3 linked regions of the Arabidopsis thaliana genome follow. The protein of the gene in region 1 interacts with the protein of each later gene in a biochemical or structural test. Each region holds a gene or a part of one and is shown in the gene's direction. Other genes may lie near its edges.

Evidence for each region.
Region 2: the proteins of RKP (region 1) and ICK1 form a complex in vitro, tested with the Arabidopsis thaliana proteins (one study listed by BioGRID).
Region 3: the proteins of RKP (region 1) and AT2G32710 form a complex in vitro, tested with the Arabidopsis thaliana proteins (one study listed by BioGRID).

Annotation. Positions count from the first base shown.
Region 1 is NC_003071.7:9,367,766-9,371,521, reverse strand, and holds the start of RKP (uncharacterized protein), read left to right. Parts: upstream 1-2,060; 5' UTR 2,061-2,399; intron 2,400-2,578; 5' UTR 2,579-2,693; coding exon 2,694-3,756. UniProt on the Arabidopsis thaliana protein: E3 ubiquitin-protein ligase that promotes the ubiquitination and proteasomal degradation of KRP1 and KRP2.
Region 2 is NC_003071.7:9,976,481-9,980,236, reverse strand, and holds ICK1 (Cyclin-dependent kinase inhibitor family protein), read left to right. Parts: upstream 1-2,146; 5' UTR 2,147-2,315; coding exon 2,316-2,513; intron 2,514-2,606; coding exon 2,607-2,650; intron 2,651-2,768; coding exon 2,769-3,035; intron 3,036-3,150; coding exon 3,151-3,217; 3' UTR 3,218-3,647; downstream 3,648-3,756. Other genes in the region: AT2G23440 (uncharacterized protein), read right to left, coding at 507-755. UniProt on the Arabidopsis thaliana protein: Binds and inhibits CYCD2-1/CDKA-1 kinase complex activity. Regulates cell division which is crucial for plant growth, development and morphogenesis. Functions in turning cells from a mitotic to an endoreplicating cell cycle mode.
Region 3 is NC_003071.7:13,871,673-13,875,428, forward strand, and holds the start of AT2G32710 (Cyclin-dependent kinase inhibitor family protein), read left to right. Parts: upstream 1-1,689; 5' UTR 1,690-1,823; coding exon 1,824-2,401; intron 2,402-3,272; coding exon 3,273-3,494; intron 3,495-3,608; coding exon 3,609-3,678; 3' UTR 3,679-3,756. Other genes in the region: LUH (LEUNIG-like protein), read left to right, coding at 29-172. UniProt on the Arabidopsis thaliana protein: Binds and inhibits CYCD2-1/CDKA-1 complex kinase activity. May target specifically CDKA-1.

The DNA of each region.
Region 1 (3,756 bases):
AGCAAACACTTGAAAGTGGATTATGTTCCAAGCTTTTATGTATCTCCAGTCTCAGTTGGATGTTTTGTTAATAAATAAAATATGGCTCTTGCACAATGGGCATGAAACAATCTAGTACTTTACTTGGACTTCAACTGTCGTTACTTATGCTTTGCTTTCCCATAGAAAAATACAGCATATATATATAGTAGAAGCCAAAACAGAGCATAAAGATCACCATTTAAACAAAGCATATTAATGATAATATGATGATTAAACATATAAAGTATCAAACATCATAACATCATCATTAGCATCAACGTATCTCTTTTCATCTACTTAACTAACGCTACATTGAACACCAAATCTCTTTGTTTTCTTCCCACTAAAACAATGAAAATAGTACCAAACATTGAAAATCATCTACTCAAATTAAGAGGCAAATCATATCACTAGCTTTTAATCAAAAGTAAAAGCATAATCTTACCATTATCATTATCATCATGATTATATTCCATACATATTTTTGTTAATCACTACACCAAAACTATGCATTTTAGTATAGTTAGAACAGGGAAATCGTCCATAGAGCTGAGGTTTGGCACATTTGAAAATCTTTATGTTTTGTAGCATTTTTACTAAGTTTTGCTACATTGAATGACAAGTTCAACCAAAAATATTTACCAAAAAAAAAAAAACAAGTTGCTGTTCAACCAAATTCCCAAAAGTAAAAGTGGCAACGGTTGCAAAATTATTCCATCACACGGAAACGCAGCGTTTTAATATTTCCCTTGAAGACAATATAATGCCGTCTTAAGTCACTATCTGAATAACAGAGACATCAGCCAGTGAAGTGGCTGTTGATCAACGTGGAACACGTGCACGATACTTCTTTTATTAGTCATTAGCCGACAGTGGTCTCATAGCTTTCCACGTGGTGTGTTTAGAGATCGAGTTGATATTTTCAATTATTTATACTCTCAGGTCGTTGACAAGGTCGTGTGTCTATCGGAAGTTTGCAAAAGCTCCGGTGACTTGTCAACAACTGCTCCGTCACGTTCCGTCGATTTCAATCGTCTTTACATCCACTTGAATAGTTTTCGTGCATACATTATAGTAACACTCTTCTTTAATTTGCATAATGTATTAAGAATATACGAATGGCTTTTGACAATTGATTTACAAATAAAGTTTTCTAATTAAGTCAACTCCAGATTATTATTAGTTCTTGTCAACGAATGATACCAGTATTATAATTGTTTGTGAAACCCGTTATGATTATAGAATCTACAAATAGGAAACTTACATCTAAATTTTTCTTTACCAAGGAAACCTGATAACTAGATTCATATTTTTTTTTTTGTCATAAGATATTATTAAGGACTTAAAAAAAATAATTCCGAGAGAAATTATTTACAAAAGTGATATATAACTTAAATTTACATTTCTTTTTAGATTAATCATAATTATATCATATTTTAGATCCACTTAAATAAAATACAGTAAATACGCTATTCGACAACTGTAATCACATTCGAAAATTTCACGGGTAGTCGAAACCAAATCATCTTTGATAATAAACAATAATATTTTTTTTTTTTAAACTAAAAATAATAACTATTTAAAAGCGATAAACAAAACTAATTTTTTTTAACAATGTTTTTAGCAAAAATTTTACACGAAAATCTCATAATACTAACACTAAAATGAAAAAAAAAAGAATATTCAAACAATACCATATTATTTTTGTGATTTTTTCTTTAGTTAGTGGTGATACTAACATTCTTTTAACTTTACCTTTAAATTGCTAAGTTTTACAGCACCTTTTTTTTTGTTATTTTTGATTAATCCAAATAACAGGAAATATCTTCAGTAAAACAAATCTCATAATGTTAACACTAAAAAAGAAAACAGAAGGAGAAAAATTAAAAAGCGTTGTTTACTTTTTGTAATTTTGTAATTTGATTTAAGAACACGTTAACATCTACTACGCCACGTGTCAAAATAAACGTAAGACCGTCCGCATCGTAAACTTTCCTCCTTCTCCTTCTATAAAAGTTACCAGACCAGACCGTCGATATAATACGTCATCAGCCACGTCATCGACACCGACACGTGTCGGTAAAAAACCCACACGCCACATGATCCATTGGCTCGTTCGGTGTTAGCCACCGGTCTTCTGATTCCTCTCTCTCTCTTTCTTCAATTCTTCTTCTCTGTTCCCCCAAAAATATTGGGCGCAAAATCTCTCTCTCTCTCTCTCTTCGAGGAAGAAGAAGAAAAAAAAAGAAGCGAAAAGTCTTCTCCTGTTTAATTTATTTGAAAAACCCTAGCACAAGTCCGCCGTCTTTGGTTTGAAGAATCTGGGTATTGATTGATTTTGGCTTCTGGGTTAATCGCTTTTCATGTCAATTTCTCCGGTGAGTTTCGAATTTTCCGTTCTGATTTTGGTGTTTTTTTCTTTCTAATTGATTGAAATTGAATAGCTTTCTCTTTTTGTTAATCCCTGTTCATCACATAAATTTGAAAGCTTTTTGATTCAAGTATTGATTTTTGGAAACTTATGCTACTTTTTTTTTTGTTCTTCTTCTCTTCACAGCTTTTCTGAATCATTTTCGAATTGTCTCTGATGAGGTCTCGTTGAATAGATACAGACTTTGGTTCTCTTGTAATTGGTTGTGTTGAAAGCGCGTTTGGTTCACAATCAATGCCATATGGCTGAAGACAGCCTACGGGTTGGTATGATTTCATCTGGTTTGGCTGTTTTACTGAATGGTGAAGATGCTAAAGAAAATTCCTCGAAAGCTCGTATTGTTCCACATTTTGATTATTCTGGTCACCGGCCTTTAGAACGGACTATCGAATTCATATTTGGTTTAGCAGAAAAGTCGGTTGGTCCATTGGATGGTCAAGTAGACAGTAGCTTGATTAGAGCTGTGATTAAGAATCAGTTCTCGAAGCTTCATGGTGATTTGGATGTTTCAGTTAGTCAGAGAGAAGGAATCAGTGTAGTTCATCATGGTGTTGGACCTCCTATTGTTGGCCTTGAAGAGTTTAGCATATGTGGTGATATCAGGATTGTGAAGCCACCTCTTGTATTGGAGAGCTTAGCACTTTTCAGTAGCGCCAGGGCTAATGCTTGTATTTGGAAAGGAAAATGGATGTATGAAGTCGCTTTAGAGACCTCGGGAATTCAACAACTTGGATGGGCAACACTTGCTTGCCCTTTCACTGACCAGAAAGGTGTGGGTGATGCTGATGATTCATATGCTTTTGATGGTCGAAGGGTAAGCAAATGGAACAAGGAAGCTGAACCTTATGGTCAATCATGGGTTGCTGGGGATGTCATCGGTTGCTGCATAGATTTGAACTGTGATGAGATTTACTTCTACAGGAATGGTGTCTCCCTCGGGGCTGCATTTACTGGTATTAGAAAACTTGGACCTGGATTTGGGTATTACCCTGCTATATCTCTCTCCCAAGGTGAGAGATGCGAGTTAAATTTCGGCGCTTACCCGTTTAAGTACCCTGTTGACGGTTTCCAACCTCTTCAAGAAGCTCCAACTCGATTTTCATTTGCAACAGAGCTACTACGATGCTTCTCAAGACTGCTGGATAGGCCAGACCGCTCATTGGCTGATACATTAAGTCGACTGAGGAGATTTGCCTCAGTCGAAGAACTCTTTTGCCCTGTTTCGTCTGCCATATGTGATGAGTTCTTTTATATACTTGAGCAAGACCCTTTGTTGGCGGAGTACTTAGGACGGGGTGCATTTC
Region 2 (3,756 bases), 610 kb from region 1:
TATTACGTAATACAAACTTTTAGGTTTTTCTCCATGCAAAATAATGTCTGGCTCAAATTTTGAAACGCAGATATGGAATATCTGTACCAAATTATTTCAAAGATAGTTATTCGTTCTACGTACAGATTTTGAAGACATAAACAAGTAATCGAAATTGCTTCTATAGTTCTATTCCTAAATCGGTTTGTGATTAGATCGAGTTACGTATGATTCAGTTCAAGCGAATGACATATCTCGATAGAAAAATTTCTTAGTTCAAGCGAGTGACACATCTCGATAGAAAAATATATGAGAAAATTGGAACCTGATAAAAAAATGTATGTGCTTTTAAAATAAGATGGATTACATCAATCTTAATTTAATCAAATAAATATTATTACAATCACACTTGCAAGAAACTGAATATGACGAAACTGTACGTAAATACATATTCAGAAAAAAAAAGTCACCAGGCCAATCATATTTTCAACATGTAATCACATAGACGATGCTATTGTTCCTCTCCGTTAATTATGTACGGAATGTCCAATACCGGGGCTATGACCAGGTTCCGTAGGTCTGAAGGTATCAACCCCGTGGCTCGGCGGCGACTCAAGTGGCTCAGTCGGAGGTGACGACGACAATACAGAGCCACCAGCTCTGATTTCCTCAGACGTCGTTACGGTGAATTTGGTGAGTTTTCGGCCTTCAATTGAACCAACACTAATAGTCAAAAGAAAGATAAATGCAAAAACGTAAACATTAATCGTCGCCATTACTAGAAAAACCGAGACGAGAATTAGAAAAAAAAAGAAGCTAAATTATAATATTTAGTCGAAGGCGAAAATGTATTATGTATTGATGCATGAAACCTCTTGGACCATCTGATGTATTTATAGGGATGAAATTTTACATAACATGGGCGCAACACTTGAGGAGATAAATTAAATATTTAGGGGGTATTATTGGTTTATGATTTTAAAAGAACTTTAACGATTATGTAAAATCGTTTGTTATTCAATCAAGATTTTTAAAAAGTTTATTAAAGTTCTTTGTTATTAATTTAAGATTTATAAAAAGTTTTCTAATATCTTTATAAATCTAGGGTTATAGATTCATACTTTTTTGTAAAGTGAGTAAAAGTTTTATGTTATTCAATTAAAACAAAAGTCGTCTGCATGACCTTCATGTAAATTTCAGTCCCTTCTTTTGATTGAGAAACTAGGGAATTTTTTGGATTGAAAATTGCTTGGTGAGTTAAGGAGATCTAATCTTGATGCTCACTTTATTGCCAAGAGCGTAACAAAAAATGATCGCCGTTAATCGTATGTAGCAACTAGGTTTTCTTTTTGGTTAAAACAACTTTTTGAGGAAGAAAAAAATGCCTAGTGTAATACTGGTTGATCTAGAATGATTGTCCTTGATCCACATTTTTTTGTATGTTTGGTTGGAAATTATGAAGTATATATTTATCTTTCAGTGAAAAAAAAAATATTTTTAATTTTTAAAGCAAGACATGGTAATTTGAATGCACTCGCCACTCCATTTTGTTCATGCTTTGAGACAAAAACAAAACATAGAAAGGCTGACAAGGCCCATGGGAAGTGATGGAGGCCAAGTTTAGTTCTTAGAAACCTTTACTATATTATGACTTATTAAGCCCAATATATCACGATCGACACGTGCTGTTGACAACTTGACATCAGGCTAAGCAAATACGCAGGGATAACAAAAATATAATTTCTAGTGTCAGTTTTACTTTTACCTTATTTTACTCACAGGTACGTAGTTTTTAGGCTATCCGTAACAATCCACCTATACTATACACATAATCTATATATAGTCTCTATCCAATTCATTTTAAAGTAATATGAACTTTCTAATTTTACCTAAACTATAAAATTCATCCCAACTATACAAAAAGCTTGTCAATTATAATTTAAAACATTTTAAACGGTTTCGCGTAATGGCAAATCTGTGAATTACCAATAGATGAGAGGGTTTTTAAAATAGTTAGTTACACCACAATTATTACGCCTCCCGTTCCGTTAAGTCACCGTTTATAACCGACACGTGTCAATAAAACAAACCATCGGCATAAGTAACTCCATAACATCCAAATAACGGCGCCTCCAGTTTCCCCGTTAAAGATTCCCCGTCACTGTAACGGGACCACTAAAACACGCCATTTCTCTATCACACACAGCACAAAACTCAATCCTGACCGTTCAAAACCAAATTCATCATCTTTCTTTCTTCTTCTTCCTCATCCTCTCAATCATATCTCTCTCTCTCACAGAGATTGTGACTTCACGCACACGTAACCTAAATCGAAGATGGTGAGAAAATATAGAAAAGCTAAAGGAATTGTAGAAGCTGGAGTTTCGTCAACGTATATGCAGCTACGGAGCCGGAGAATTGTTTATGTTAGATCGGAAAAATCAAGCTCTGTCTCCGTCGTCGGTGATAATGGAGTTTCGTCGTCTTGTAGTGGAAGCAATGAATATAAGAAGAAAGAATTAATACATCTGGAGGTTATTTAATGTTGTTGATTCTAGATTCTTGTAACTGTATATGTATCATTTAATGTTAATGTATTTTTTTTTGAAATTTTGAAATTTTTGTAGGAGGAAGATAAAGATGGTGACACTGAAACGTCGACGTATCGACGGTGAGTGTTAAAAAAAAAACTGAAAATGATTTGAATTTTGAAGGTTTTATTATTTTCCCGGTTATTTATTTGACTCTCTCTTCAATAAATTTAGAATCTTGCTTGTGAGTTATTTTAGGGGTACGAAGAGGAAGCTTTTTGAAAATCTGAGAGAGGAGGAGAAAGAAGAATTAAGTAAATCCATGGAGAATTATTCATCGGAATTTGAATCGGCGGTTAAAGAATCGTTAGATTGTTGTTGTAGCGGGAGGAAAACGATGGAGGAGACGGTGACGGCGGAGGAGGAGGAGAAGGCGAAATTGATGACGGAGATGCCAACGGAATCGGAAATTGAAGATTTTTTTGTGGAAGCTGAGAAACAACTCAAAGAAAAATTCAAGAAGAAGTAAGTTTTTATTTTATTTTGTGAGTTTGATTTTTATAGATAATATATTTTTTATTCATAATTTAAAATTGATTTTGAGGTAAAATTAAGAGTGAGTTTATTTTTTTTTAATTAGGTACAATTTCGATTTCGAGAAGGAGAAGCCATTAGAAGGACGTTACGAATGGGTAAAGTTAGAGTGAAGAAGAAGAAGAAGTTTATGGTTTTTTTTTTAACTTTTTAGATTTTAATATTTCAGGGAATAAGTTAATTTTATTTTGTTGATTTGGAAATATAAGATTTGTAGGAGGAATGTTTTTAGAAGTACGAAATTGCACAGAAAAAGAAGAAAGCTTTTTAACAGATTTTAGAGCCCAGAAAAGTCGTGTCTTTTAGCTCTACTTTTACCTCTTCTTCGAATCTTGTGTATCTTTTAGCATATTCTTTAGTACATTTTTATGTTTTTGGTGACTGATAAAATTCTATCCCCACACAGGTACAACCACACTCATTTTTTTGTCTTCTCCGTTTTAATAATATTCAACCAAAAACATCAAATGCATTTTGGTAGATTATCTTACCGCCCTAAACGCTTAAAATTATTTTAGAATTTTATTTCTTACAACGTTTGATATGGATTAAAAAGTACTATGAAATTAGTTATTATTGTTCTACTACTTAAATTAACTAATCGACAATTTCAGTGCAGTTTTTTGTTGAACAAAATCGTACCAACCATGTC
Region 3 (3,756 bases), 4.5 Mb from region 1:
TTAACTTTGGTAAACGAATCTGTGACAGGCTATAGAGCTGTGGAACACAATGGAGAACAAATGTATGACGGTAGCAGGCCACGAGTGTGTGATCTCTGCCTTGGCTCAGTCGCCTTCGACGGGAGTGGTTGCGTCTGCAAGTCATGACAAATCCGTAAAGATTTGGAAGTAGAAATATTTCTATGTTCGTCTGAAAAGAAAAGGAAAAAAGAAGAAATAGCAGAGAGCTCAGGACTTTTTTTGGGTCTAATTTTTTTTTTTTTTTTAATGTTACATTAATAAGTTGGTTTTTTTTTTAAATTGGGTTTGTTTATGTCAAAAGCAAAGAGACTTGTGATATTTCCAATCTTTGTCTAATGATCCTACTTCTTTACTTCGTTGTTTTGATCTCTAGTGTTTAGAGTGAAAGAGAGATGTAAGTAATTTCTCTAGACCAACTACATTGTTGAATAATAATTTCTTATAATCAGCCAAACGCTTGTTTTTAAGGTCTCTTTACGAATATCTTATAATGACACTGCATACATTAAGTTGGTTTAAGATGAATACAAAACTCTAAGCATGCACATTGAAAGTACTCGTACGTTAAAACTTAGGATTAAGGATGAGTTTATTATCTGCTTAGGCTTAAATTGTCTTTGTTCTGGGTTACTTATTGAACTTCTAATATAACCGCATCTTTCTTGAATGACTCTGCCTCTCTTTCAAAATTATTTGTTTCAGCATCACTGTAACATTTATTGTAAAAATAGTTTTTTTGGGTTTGAATAAATTTAACTTTCAACTCAAAAAAAAAGAAAAACTCGATATTATATATAGAAAACGGAAATGTGAAACATAAGGAGAAGTAAAAAGCACGGTTACGTTTGTGTTTGTTTACAATTTACAAACACGTCTAACTTGGAAAAACTAAAATAAATGTACTTTTTTTTTTTTGGTCTAAAATAAATGTACTTTTTTCTTAAACATGAACTTATTTTTTGTAACAGTTGAGTGGTTGAATGAATCATTAATTTAAGTTATCTTTAGTTTCTCAATCGATAATATATACCTACTCAAACCTTTATACAATACTATAAGATATAAAATACTCCTACTCCTTCCCAATTCTCAAAACTGCTTAAACTTTCATAATCATCTAACTCTTGTAATTTATATAATCTAGTCATTAGATTCATCAGTATATTCTCAATATTACAAAGGCTAAATATCTTATGCTACATTATCCAAGCAATTCGCAGAAAACAATAAAAATAAAATTGTCAAACATCATAAGCCTAGTAGAGAAGTAGAAGTTGACATTCCAAATTCGTCCAATCTCTACCTCAACTAGATTTAAAACTTTTTATCCTAAGGTAAGTAAAATACACAAAAGTAGAGCAAAATACGATCCTTGAATTAATTCAGGTTGTGTAACCGTTCAATCTTTTCTAACGCTGTGACACATATTTGAACCCAACTAACTCAAATTTTTTTATTTTAAATATAATTTATAAATGTGGAAAAAAATAATAAATTTATAAATAAAAATATATGTCATCATTTCTATTTATAAATATCGAAATTATTACACTCAAGTTCTAAAATATTTTTTTTTTTTAAAAACTAAAGTGAAAAAATAGCAAAGTACATTACTCACAGTAGTGAAGAAGCAGCCACCTGAAAAAAAAAATAACACACACAAAAAAAGAGAGAGAGAGAGAGAGAGAGAGAGAGAGAGAGAGAGACCCCACAAAGAGCACTAATCTTCACAACCCTAACTCCGATTTTTCTCACACCTCCCAATCTCTCTTTCTTTCTCTCTGATGAAAAGCTAACGGAAAATGGGGAAATACATAAGAAAGAGCAAAATCGACGGAGCTGGAGCTGGAGCTGGTGGTGGAGGTGGAGGCGGAGGTGGAGGTGAATCCTCTATTGCTTTAATGGATGTTGTTTCACCTTCTTCCTCTTCTTCACTTGGTGTTTTAACTCGAGCTAAATCTCTAGCTCTTCAACAACAACAACAACGCTGTCTTCTTCAAAAACCCTCTTCTCCTTCTTCGTTACCACCGACTTCTGCTTCTCCTAATCCACCGTCAAAGCAGAAGATGAAGAAGAAGCAGCAGCAGATGAACGATTGTGGTTCGTATCTTCAGCTACGGAGTCGTCGGCTTCAGAAGAAACCACCAATTGTTGTGATTCGTTCTACTAAACGGAGGAAACAGCAACGGAGGAATGAGACATGCGGAAGAAACCCTAACCCTAGGAGTAATTTGGATTCGATTCGTGGTGATGGGTCTAGGTCTGATTCTGTTTCTGAAAGTGTTGTCTTTGGTAAAGACAAGGATTTGATTTCTGAAATCAATAAAGATCCAACCTTTGGCCAAAATTTCTTCGACCTTGAAGAAGAACACACTCAAAGGTATCATCTTTCTTCATCAATTTCAACCTAATTTTTTGGGGGATTTCTTATTTTTATGAATCTGTGTGAATTTGTTCTGTTTCTTGAGAAAACTTTGGTATTGGATTTGAAAATTTCCGTTGTTAATTTGAAAAAAGGATCAATTTTTTGTCTTGTATTTGGTTAAAATTGAAACTGGCGTTTTCGATTTTGAAATTTAATGATATTTTTACCATGTGTATGATATGATGCCATCTTTTCTTTATCTGACAACACCAGACTCTTCTCTCTGTTTCCGGGAAAGAAAATATATATAATTAATCAAAAATGTGTTTCTTTTTTCTTGAGAAAGTTTTTATTTTTTCTTCAATTACTTTGAAGAAGGTGATAGTGACTATTGTTTTTTCTTCAGACTTTTTATCTGCTTTCATGTAAAGAATGTTGGATTTGTGTTTGAAATGTCTCTGTAAGTAACTCTTTAAAGTTTGGTTCGTTTTTGGGATTCTGCAAAGTATATGATGTGTCTCTGTAACATCTTAAGTTCTAGTTTCTCTGTCTTTTAATTTTTCTTGCTGTTTGGTTGTTTTTTGATGTTATGATTTCAGTCTAAAGTCGTGATCTTGTTGAACATTGTATGAGTCATTAACTTTTCAAGCATTGCTGAAGTAATCTTCATTGGAAGTTTCTTCTTTGGTTTTATGCTTTGTGAACTTTGAACCACAAATCAACAAGGAGTTTCTCCTTGTCCTTTTTTCAGTTAAACATGACTTGCTTAGTTTTAGTTATCTATATGCAATAAAGTTTGCTTGCTTTTGCTGCTAATTAAGGAAACACGGTTATGTGCTTTTTCCTTGAGAGCATTGTATGAAAGTAACATATTACTTACTCTCAGCTTCAACAGGACCACAAGGGAATCCACACCATGCAGTTTGATAAGAAGGCCTGAAATCATGACAACCCCGGGATCGTCTACAAAGCTTAACATTTGTGTAAGTGAAAGCAACCAGAGAGAAGACAGTTTGTCACGCAGCCATCGTCGCCGACCAACTACACCTGAAATGGACGAGTTTTTCTCGGGTGCTGAAGAAGAACAACAGAAGCAATTCATTGAGAAGTATGTGTTTCCTCGTTTCATCTGTTCTGTTCTTTTGGTTATGAGTTTCCAGTTTGTTCTGTTCTTCTCTTTTGGTCTTGTGTCTCTAATGGTTTCTGTCAACTCTTTCTTCAGGTACAACTTTGATCCTGTGAACGAACAACCACTACCAGGACGGTTTGAATGGACGAAGGTAGATGATTAGAAACAACAAAAAAATGGGGGGTTAATAGTTAATACAGAATATATTAACATTTTCCTGCTAATTATCGGTTTGATCTTA